3 linked regions of the Caenorhabditis elegans genome follow. Changing the gene in region 1 together with any one later gene gives a genetic interaction. Each region holds a gene or a part of one and is shown in the gene's direction. Other genes may lie near its edges. The genes, in order: lin-25, sex-1 and egl-18.

Region 1 (3,755 bases):
TTCCCAAGGTTGGGACTCTGGTTTTCAATATATCTTCTCCGGTTGGCAAGTATTCTTTTCCAATAACTCTTGCAAGGTTTTCAATGAAACTGGAAATAATAATAATTAGACTGAATAAAACCCAACGTTTAACTTGCTGAATTGTTGAGTCTTCAATATTATAAACAGTTTTATTCCTCAACATCATGGCAACTGTTTCATCTTTTATGTACATCTGGATAGACTTTATAATGTCTTTGCACAAAACATTTTCAGTCTCTCCAGTTTTATTGAACTGTTTCGTAAATATTCGGATTTGATTTAGGCATTCCTATAATGGAAATTAGTTTTGAAACATTTACCGTATTTCCTCTATTAGTTTTGCACCCCTTTGCTCAACTTTCACAGCTCATATCTCAGTAGTCGTTTGTTTTATAAAAAAGTTGTCAACTGATAAAATTTTTGCAAGATGTTTTCTAACGTTTGTAGTTTGTTAATTATTTATATGCTTAAAACAAAACGAGATATGAGTTGTCAAAGTTGAGCAAAGGGGTGCAAAACTAATAGAGGAAATACGGTAATTACTTACAATTGAAGATGGATTTTCGTAAATTAATTGTCTCCACATAATTGCCCAGTGTATCTCATCAATACCTTCCAAGATATTTATATAAATTCCATGTTTTAGAGCTCTTTTTTCTTCAACACTGTATCCTCCACAATGAAGAATTCTCAAAATTTCAATATTACAAACTACCGATAATATATTATCTAATTATTTTGAAAATCAGCTGAGTAGGTGATAATTTTTGGAAGCAACTGAAAAAATGTAGTTTTCATTGAATTTACCTTACTTGCTTGACTATTGTACTTTTTCCTGACTCTCCCGGACCTAAATATAATAAAGGTTACATTTTGATTATGTTTTTTTTTTTAATCAGGTACCTATGATAAGAAGCTTTAAAGCCTTCTTCTTACGTTCCTCGAGTATTTGTGTTTCGATTTTCAAGTTTTCATCTATCTTCAAAAATATATTTTCACTCAAAGTTTTACTTAACCTCCACCTGTTTCTTAAGTTGCTCTCTGCCGAGAACATGATTTTTGGCCGATGAAGAAAATGATGCACCCAGCTTTGAAAGGCTGAAAGTTTTGCCTAGTTTTTTTTTACAATAGTGGCTTTGGGTCTGATAAAAACACTAGTGAAAATTACGAATGAAATAATTTGAGACATGCTCAAGATATTGAAAGTTGTTATTTCCAAGTTTATATATAAACTTAAACTATAGTTTGAGTGCAAAGCACATTTTAGAAAATGTAATGTTTCCATGGTAACTTATAAACAAGTAATTAAAACAAGCTTAAAGTTTTTTTTTGAAAATGAAAAGTGAATGAAGCTGAATTAAATCGTCTTAAGAGATTGTTGGGGTGGCAGTTTGATTATTACATCTGAAAATTGTGTAGAATCATTGAAAATAAATGCCGTCCACGCCCAATTTTTCATTGACTCTGAGAAGTGAAGGAAGACATCCCTCCTATGTCAGAAAATGTACAATGGAAGAGGAATGCATCGTACCTAGTCCCCCAAGTAGTGGGGGACAATAAACACTCGGCCACCTCGCTCTATTGCGTGTCTACGTCTCACATCCATTTATACTATTGCACCGAATATTGGGTTAATGTCGGTGTTTGAATATATTTTGGTTACAGTTTAAATGCTTCAAATTTAAATCAATTAAATCATGAATAGTATCAAAATTGATAGTTCAACAAAAGTGAGTTTTTTTTTAAATAAATTTTTATTTTAATTTCAACAAACTTATTTTGTATTTAATTTTTTTTTAGATAGTTATTGAATATATTGACAAACTCCGCAATTGCTCAAATGAAAAACGACAAAAAGTATCATCAGTCATTCGTCCAGTTGACTTTCCCGGTATCTCAACTCAGCAGCTTTGTGGTTTGTTGCAATTCTTTTTTGTAATTGTATTAATATATTTTATTCAGATATTTTGATTCGGTTTGCTTATAATGGAACATATATCGATGATGTTTTCCGGGACCATCTTCTCAAACTTGTCGTAGATAAGGTACTCTGTAGTTCTTTGTTTTATTCCAAAAAATTATAAATTTACAGTCAATCACCTGGAATCAAGTCATCCACAGTGTGATAAATACAAAAACAGATAGAATTTATTCGAAATGTTTGCAATGCGAATTGATCCGGGAAATGGTCAACTATGTACAGTGAGTTGGCATTTTTAATTGAAAAATTTTGCCAAGTTTATTAATTTCAGAATCAAGTCATTTTCTGATAAATTGCATGCAGATGAGCTTATTTCGATTATGAAGCCGACTGTTTTCTTCCTCGCGCAACTGATACAAGTAAGATTTTTAGTATTTTTAACGAGCGATAAATGTTGTTTAAAGTTAAAAGCTTACATGTTGAAGGTTACCAAAATATATGTTCAAAATTGGCAAATGCTCTTTTACTACCTCATCTTTTACTACGTTGCTCTTTTACTACGGTTTACTCTTTTACTACGGCCGTATTTTTTACTACATTTTCCAATTTCGATTTTTTACTACGAAATGTATCTTTTACTACGGCCGTTTTTTTTACTACGGTTTCCGAATTTGATTTTTTACTACGATTCGTATCTTTTACTACGATTAACGATTTTTTACTACCTAATGAAAAAAAGAATATCAAAAGTTGGAATTTGAAAGTTACCTTGTAGCAGATTTTAGGTATAATTACAATTTCACTCTGAAATCAACATGAAAGTTTCATAGCTGTGTTCTTTTTCCAACTTTTGAAATATACTACTGTCTGAGCGGTTTTTAACTGAATCCGACGATATCAGAACGGGAAAATGAAATTTATGAAAATTTTCCAAACAAAACTATTTTGAAACCTTATTAGGCACTGATCAGTTATTGTAGAAAAATTCTCAATCTGTCGTTTTTGAAAACATTCCTGTCAACTTTGTGATTTGGCATAATAATAAGAAACTCGACAAGTAGGGCTCTATATACCCACATATCTTTTCGGACAGAGGGAATGCGAAAAATTAATCAATCGCAAACTTGTTAAGCTTAAGATAAGGAACACTTTTCCCGTGCAAACTATTTGAAAAAAAATCTGAATGGATCCAGATTCGAACCAGCAATGACTCTACTGAAGAGCGCGCGCTTTACCACTTCTCCAAACAGGCGAGTGGCGGCCGCGGTTCCAAGGAATATGTGAAACCAACCGAGCTGTACGAAGTAAGAAGCTTCCATTACTTTTTCAGATATTTAGTTCTGAAAACTTTGTCAACTCTCCTTATCAACAACTAAATGGTCCTTTTTGTAGTTATTTCTACTGGCAAAAAAGAGTGTGCCTGTAAATAATATCCTGCGTATAAACGTTGTTGTCCAGTGAAAACCTTCCCTTGACTTGAAATTTCTAGAAAATTGTACATGCATGTTGATACGAGATACAGAAATGAAACATTTGAAATTAAATTTTGGGCCTAAAATGTTTTTTCTCAAAAACCACTACAGTTCTTATTTTTCCAAGAGTGTATATAAAAAGTTTATTTTTTAAAATAATTTTTCGTATCAAAATCCCATTTTCCGGCTTCAAACGTAACGTTTTCGTCGTTTTCGTTATTGGCAAATCGAATTCGATCGAAATTGAAAAAATTCCGGAGTACGGTACATGTCGGTGTTTGCGTACTTTTGCGTACCGTGCATTTTATTCGACGACACTTCATATTTTTAAAAAGCAAAAT
Region 2 (3,755 bases), on another chromosome or scaffold:
TCGTTAAGAGTAGAGAAAAATGAAACAGCTGTTTTCTTTTTTTTCTTGGAAAAATGCCTGTGTAGATGGAAGAACATGGTGCAATAGAAACAAATTTATGAATTGTTCAAAAATTCGTCATTTTGAAGAAAGTACATCGACAGATGCACAAAATTTCGCAGAGAGTCTTTTATGCTTTAACAGTTCCAGCTGTCGTTTTGATGAATTTTCCATAAAGTACAAAGTTAGGGTGAAGTTTATTTGTGAAACGGGAATGCAATTCGTGAACTCATAAAGATTGTGCATGTTACTGAAACGTCTCTTCGTAATAGAAACCGGGGAAAAGGCATAAGTTGCATCATTAAGAGATGTTAGCTAGGGAAAGATGTGCACGAAGGTGTATTGTTATGTCCGAGTGTACAAGTGGAGGACGAAATATTGGTGATCTAGAATTCCGTTAGTAATTTAGATGCCTTACTAGTTACACAGTTCACGCAATAGCCGGCGAGCGTTAATTGTTGAAGTTATGTGCTATATTATGTGCCATTTTTGGAGATATTAATAATATTCACTCTTATTAGAGTATCCTCCCGTCCTATATATTTCATCTCCCAAGTTGTGTATGCGCAAGCGATGTGCACCAATTTTTAAAGGTGGTTGTAAACCGGCAGACCTCTTTCCAGACGGTGTCTTGTTGTGCGCATTCGCCTCTTCTCCTCCCCTTTGCAGACTGTTCATTTCTCGATCACAGTTGTCTCGTTTTTCATCTCCAACAATTGCGGACCACTGCATTGCCTCCTCTTCTCTCTCAGTCCGCACTTTTTTGGATCGATATTTTGTTTTTCATTGTGCATATCTCTAGTTTGTTGAGTTTTCTCTGTGTGATTCTTTGCAACTCTGTAAACATTATTATCTTACTCTTCTCACTACACGTCATCGCTTCCCAACATCTCGTCACTTCTCCTCACCCAAGAGGTGTCAATTCACACCTTAACATGATGGTGAAGTGAGCTCGAGTGGATAGTACTTCATCTCGAGCCCTCCTTCTGTTGCTTTATCTTACCGTCTCCTCTTCCCTAGTTTTTTCCTGTGAGAAAGGCACGCAACCATGCAACACATTGTGTATGGAATATCTAATTGCAAATTGCGCAAGAATTGCCTAGAACAACGCAATCATTTTCTCGGGGGAGAACGCAGTAATCTTGTTCGCTCAAACTATCTTCGTTTATTTTTGTGCGTGATTGTGGACTTGGCTGATCAATTTTTGCATCCATGATTTCTACCAAAAACTTTTAAAAAAAAAATGCACACATGTGTAGTAGCGGCTTAACATGTGAAGGACTATACTAGGTAGTTATAAATTGTATCACATCTTCTCAACCTAGTTGAATTTGTTGGAAACTTCATAATGCTTTTGGAAATTGTTCTATTCAGATCACTTTTGAATTTTAATTTAAGAAGTTGAACACGTTTCTTACTTTCCGGTACTAAAATATCAATTAAAAGGTAAAATTTTACTCTAAAACCATGTGTGAAGCTCACCTCATGCCACCCGTTTTTTTAATCGAAATGTGCTTGCTTGTCGAGCAATCTCCCAGTGGTGCACTCCTCCTCAGCTCCGCCTATCCTCCTCGTCTCTCCCCATCCTCTCACCCACAGGCAGGCATTCAGCGCAGATTAATACACGATACCAGCCTTCCTTATTGCTAGTTAATAGTTCCCTGCTTTAAAAACTAATTGTTGATTTCTAGATTCTAGCTTTCCATGTTCTCTTCATCAAATTGTTATCACGTTTTTCTCGAACTGCTGTTCTTTTCCTTTGTCAGCAGATTTTCCATTTCTTTCTTTTACCTTTCAGATAATTCTCTTACCAATTCTCTGTCTCTTCCCACTGTGAAAGTTGTCCGTTACTGCATTACTCAATAATTTTAATTTTCAGATGAGTTTCGAAACAAAACCTAACTATCTGTTACTGACAAATCCTGACACACCGCTTTCTGTATGCACATCTCCATACTACAGCCCTTCTGGAAAAACAGCTTCAATTCCATCATCAGAGGCAAGCAAACCAGAAGGAACAAATGGTCAATGGTCACATCTTCCGACTGGAGCTGTAAGTTTTTGTCGTCATCATTTTCATATTTTGTTCTGATTTACAAAGTTAATGCGTAGTTTCAAAATAGAAATCCAGGAATTAAACTGAAAACTAAATCTTCTCAATTTGCAGACGTACGTGACGGATGAATTCTCGTCAGAATTCCAAATCCAAAACGGATCGACAGCAGCTCAAAGTGGTAACGCCAACAACTACGCTGACCCTCTCTCACACCGTCGCTACTTCAATAACGTCAATGGGTACAATCACCATCAGTTCTATGATACGGCGTCACAAGCCAGCGTGAGCTCGCCGGCAACAAGTGGTAAGTTAGGGAGTCTATTTCTATCAAAATCTATCAGTAGGTGGGGCATATCATCAAGTGTGTGGTGACAAGTGGCAGCAACATCTACAGCAACACAGATTTTTTTCCTCACCTAAGAACATGTGTCTGAGAAGTGTTGCAAGTTTCCGAGTTTCTCTCGCCTTTTTTCTTTATTTCTCCCATTTAATTGATAGAAGAATGAGAGCAGAGAAAATGAAAAAGTCTAATAGACTTTGCAATCATTCTTCATCTCTTCCCTCTCTGGATCATATTTAGCTCGATAGGGACCAGATCAGTTGTGCTCTGTTCCACGTATCTTCCTGTATTCTAAGATGGCCTACTTTTGTACAACGAAAGTGAAGGCAAGCGGCTATGACGTGGTTGCGTAATAATCTCCAGGTTTCGTCATTTCTTTGGACGTCCGCTGCCAGACCACAGTGATGTATGGGTACGGTAATAAAAGAATGCCGATGGGTGAAAGAAGAGGAGAAGACGAAGTGTAATAAAGGAGGAGAACGTAGAGAACGGTGAAAGAGTGCGATGTAGGCGTGGTAAAAAGACTGTGAGAGTGAGAGAGACAATGAGAACGCATATGCCACAAATCTTGAAGATGTGGCTAAGAGCTTACTGAGTCGCGGAGAGAACGGGACCAAGGAAAACTAGGTAAATACTATCACGTCATCATTGAGAAGGAAACAAATATGGTGTGCACAGTGTACTTCAATAAATTTCACTGGTATACATAGCATGTTAAATCTGTAATCTGCCAAGTTGAGTTAAATTTGTATATTTCTGATGTGTAAATAAGTTTAGAAAAAGAATAAAACAGAAGAATTCGAAGAATCGAAGAAATGTTGTATGACCATATCACCCACTTGAAAATTGACTCTTCTAAAATTTCTTAGATAATTTTACATTTACAGTAACTTCATCGTTGTCTCCTCCTGATTCCTTATCAAATGGTCATACCACTCAACGTCATCACATTGGGAAGGCGATCTCATTTTGCAAAGTATGCGGAGACAAAGCAAGTGGATACCATTACGGAGTGACGTCATGCGAAGGATGCAAGGTAGGCATGAATGGTCCTAAAATGATCACTAATCACGTGGTTCTATTGAATTTAATGAAACCCTTCTCCACTCATAAATCCCCTTCTTGTTCTATTTACGAAACCTATATTTATGACCGTCTTATTTGATTTTTTGTTTTCCCTTATGTTAGACCAAGAGCGAGAGAATGAGCACTTCCCCAACACAAATTGCGCAATTATTTGGAGACTGTGTATTGCTATGTGCATTAAGGACTCTCTTTTCCCATTGTGCGAGTGTCTTGGATGCATACTAACATAAGAGG
Region 3 (3,755 bases), on another chromosome or scaffold:
GTCCCCCCTACTAAAAGATGCTAATCTATATCTAACAACCCCCTCTCTCTCTCTTCCCGATCGTGCGCAACTGATTCGGTGTTAACACGCGTGTGACGACGGCCCAAATAAAGGAAGGATGTTGAGGAAGAAGTTGAGGCAAAAAGAGAGAGACTTCGTTTCGAAGAGAAGATCGCAATCAACTCTTCTGATCAGCAGCCATCCAATCGAATCGATAAGAATGTTTGAAGATTACCATCTTCTCACTAACATCGTCACACACACACACACATACACTCACATTCTCCACTGCATTCCTTTGTTCGGACTCATCACGGACTCATCACCTCATCGTTTCTTGTGTTAGGACACCACTGTTTACGGGCTCTTAGACCGGTTATGGTGCATCGTCTCCTTGTCAGATGGACCACCAGGGTGTTACCGCCACACAGGTTCTCGGCAGGTGTTATCTGAGATTAGCTGAGAATTCAGCCTTGTCCTGGAAAATTGTTTGATTTTTTACCTGGCATATTAGCTCAGGGCTCGGTGAAAGCTTTTTCACAGATTTCTCCGCTCGATTCGACCAATTTTGAGCATTTATACCATGGGTGGCCGGCACTTGGCGTTTTGCCAATTTTTTTGTCGGTAAGTTGCCGGTTTGCCGAGTTGCCGGAAAACTTCAATTTCGGCAATTTGCCGATTTTCCGGAAGTTGCAATTTTTGCCAAAAAAATTCCGATTTGCCGTTTGCCGTACATAAGATTTGCCGGAAATCATAGAATTTGTTTACTTTTCAAAAGGATGCGTACACTTTTTGCCGATTAAAATTGGAATTCAGAATTTAAAAAAAAACGTGCAAATTCCCAATTTGCAGAAAATGTTCGGCAAATCGGCAAACCGGCACATTGTCGATTTGCCGGAAATTTCAATTCCGGCAGTTTGCCGATGTGCCGCCCATCCTTAATCTATACCGAAACTCAAATTTTCAAAAAAAAAATTTTTTTTTTAAATTGATAAAAACTATTGTAGCAAATCAAAAAAATGTTTAAAAAAACATGGCAAAGATTCCAATTTTGTTTTTGGAAATTTTGTAATAAGGTGTTTTAGAGACTTTCAAAACGCCATCACTTTGCTGTACCTGAACCGGGGCAGCTGAATTTTTCGGAGGGATCATTATTAGCACTTTTTTATCGAAAAATTACAACGGTTTTCCGGCAAAATCTGTTTTTTTCCAGCTTTTTTATGCAAAAAAAAAGACACCAATTTTGAAAAATTGATATATTTCGAGTTTCCTTGACACTTGGCACAGTTCCAAACAACTTCCGTTATCGACAAGCTAAAATTTGGCACATCTACAATTATCGATTAGGTTTAGTGTCGGGGTGATACTACGTGCATAATTTGTCGTACAACAACACAACAAATCGTCTCCCCTCTTCCCCCCCCCCCCCCCCCCTATCCACCTAATTTCCACGTTTGTCCGGCTGGGGGAAAAGGGGCGGAGACGGGCGGTGAGTAGCGTTCTTCTCCACACAATATCCCGCCCATTTTCTTCGCGTTGATCAGTGTCATTTTATGGTTATTTACTTGTTGGTCCATTCTTGTCAGTAAGGAGGGCCTCCCTTTTTAAAGTTTTGACCTATATTTTTGATTATTTTTTGTCTAGTTTCAGCTTGAACTAAGCCGATTTTAGGCCGAAATAGTCCGCATTTTTCTGATTCATAGCTTAAATTTAATCTCCAAATTGCTAATTTTGAGTAGATCCCTATGTTTATGCTACGTATTTTTAGCCCCAAATAGTTTTTAAATAGGCTTTTATTGATAAAAATTGACCCTTTAAGAATTAAAACTAAGCTATTTATCGGCCTGAATTCTCCATACAAAACGGCTATTTTAGGCCGTTTAGGCCGTCAATTTCTGGTACCTCCATAGTAGTACATTTTAAGGTTCAAATAAAATTGTCCCCCGAAAAATCAGTTTTTTAGTCCAAAATCACCCATTTTAAGCCCTACCCCAACTCTGTTCAGGTCAAAATTTTATCCTCGTACTCTCTTGATATTTTACTTCCCCTGCACATTTTCCCTCTAAATTTTCCATTTTTTGCAGTGTCTCCACACAGTCTATATGTCGATCAGCATAATGACGGAAACGAGACCAGAATCCGCCGAGCAACAACACCACGAAGTGCTCCAGAGGCCGTCAGATGAGCCGTGTAGTGGTTGCAAACAGTTACAGAAGGATGTTGCAAAGGTAATTTAGAGCTCAAAAAACCATTAACAATTAAAAAATTTCCAGACAATCAGCATGGTTATGGAGCGAATGGACAAACTTCAGTATCGGCTCGACGAGCTGCTCAAAGAGAACAATGAGCTGAAAAGCTCATCGGTCTCATCGGGAAAAGCCTCACCATCACCGGCAGAGTCGAGGAGCTCTCCGAAGCTTGTCGAGACAGTAGTCGCTCCAGTATCAGGAGCCCGGAAGCGGAAGCCCAAGGAGCGGAGCCCACCGGCAGCTGCGAGTCCACTTCCAGACTTTTCGAATTTGATGAACGGATTCATGTTTGATCCTCTGAATATGTCAAATCCAAATGGAATGATGCAATTATTATCAATGGTTCAACAGCAGCAGCAGCAGCAACAACACCACCAGCACATTGAGAATCAACAATCCGTGAGCCCACCACAATCGAAATCCGTGAAAATTGAAGATCCAATGGATCAGGATGTGAAACAGGAAGAGTCGGAGCGATCCGATATCCCGACGGCTACAGAGGCGCAGAACCTTTTGGATGCACTAACAGCACAGTTTAGCAGCAACGGACAGGCGGTAAGTGTTGAGGAAGGGCCAAAGGGGGGGGGGGGGGGGGGGCGAACAAAGGAAAGATATATCACCCCGGGAGGCGGCGTTCGCTTTTGAAAATCTACCGCTGCGCGATTTTTTTGCACTTAGGATTTCTAGGATCCTGATTGGATTTAGGATCTTTCGAGAACTTTGGGGAGAAGTTCCCGAAGCTCTATGATCGGAGTTCGCAGGGTTCCTTGAGGAGCCTACTTCTGGGGAAACCCTTGTGAAGGTCCGGAAGCTCCCAAAGTTGCTCAGGATCATTGCGCACCTTGACAAGCTTTAACTGCTGCCCTGACTTCCAGCGGACTTCCAGCGAGCCCTTGAAAGTCGCCAGGATCCATTGAAACCTCCCAGAGCTCCTTAGCTGCTTTAGGGTTTTTCAGGATCTTTGAGGAGCTTCTAAGATCCACCCTGAGTTCTTTAGGATCTCTGCGATCTTTCAGCAGCTCCTTCAATCAATCAATAAATACATTCACTCCTAATCACATATCAGTTCTTCCAGACCTCCACCACATCTCCACCATCATCATCATCCCAAGTACAAGCGGTCATCGAAGCAGTCGCCACACCATCATCCCAAAGCCAAGACAGTTCAATGTTTGAGAAAACCGAGACGAGTGGTGATCCGAACGCGGCGCGATGCTCCAACTGCCGAACCGACAAGACAACCGCGTGGCGACGTGACGCCGAGGGGAAGCTTGTCTGCAATCCGTGTGGGCTCTACTATCGATTGCACAAGGTTTGTTCGTCGTGTTATTCATTAGCAGAAAGATATTAGCAGCGACAGTAGAGTAGCAGCAGTAACAGCTTCTAATGGGGGGAATAAGAGAGTGTTTGTTATCTGATGCGAATAGAAGGAAACAACCTAGTTAAGATAGCGGCAAAATGAGGGGAAAATAGGAGTGAAGGAGAGGGGAGATTGAAATATGAGAT

Evidence for each region.
Region 2: of lin-25 (region 1) and sex-1, changing one enhances a phenotype caused by changing the other (phenotypic enhancement), as found in Caenorhabditis elegans (one large-scale study listed by BioGRID).
Region 3: of lin-25 (region 1) and egl-18, changing one enhances a phenotype caused by changing the other (phenotypic enhancement), as found in Caenorhabditis elegans (one large-scale study listed by BioGRID).

The regions. Positions count from the first base shown.
Region 1 is NC_003283.11:12,648,239-12,651,993, forward strand, and holds the start of lin-25 (Protein lin-25), read left to right. Parts: upstream 1-1,686; 5' UTR 1,687-1,718; coding exon 1,719-1,751; intron 1,752-1,821; coding exon 1,822-1,936; intron 1,937-1,983; coding exon 1,984-2,066; intron 2,067-2,113; coding exon 2,114-2,223; intron 2,224-2,273; coding exon 2,274-2,361; intron 2,362-3,755. UniProt on the Caenorhabditis elegans protein: Participates in the inductive signaling pathway downstream of let-60 Ras and the RAF/MAP kinase cascade to regulate specification and differentiation of many cell types. Positively regulates the fate of vulval precursor cells.
Region 2 is NC_003284.9:10,203,585-10,207,339, reverse strand, and holds the start of sex-1 (Steroid hormone receptor family member cnr14), read left to right. Parts: upstream 1-1,918; coding exon 1,919-2,092; intron 2,093-2,206; coding exon 2,207-2,399; intron 2,400-3,322; coding exon 3,323-3,471; intron 3,472-3,755. UniProt on the Caenorhabditis elegans protein: Transcriptional regulator which is involved in the sex determination and X chromosome dosage compensation pathways.
Region 3 is NC_003282.8:1,911,370-1,915,124, forward strand, and holds the start of egl-18 (Putative transcription factor egl-18), read left to right. Parts: upstream 1-2,076; 5' UTR 2,077-2,102; coding exon 2,103-2,228; intron 2,229-2,273; coding exon 2,274-2,804; intron 2,805-3,315; coding exon 3,316-3,561; intron 3,562-3,755. UniProt on the Caenorhabditis elegans protein: Probable transcription factor. Involved in embryonic development and in vulval development in larvae, acting redundantly, at least in part, with elt-6.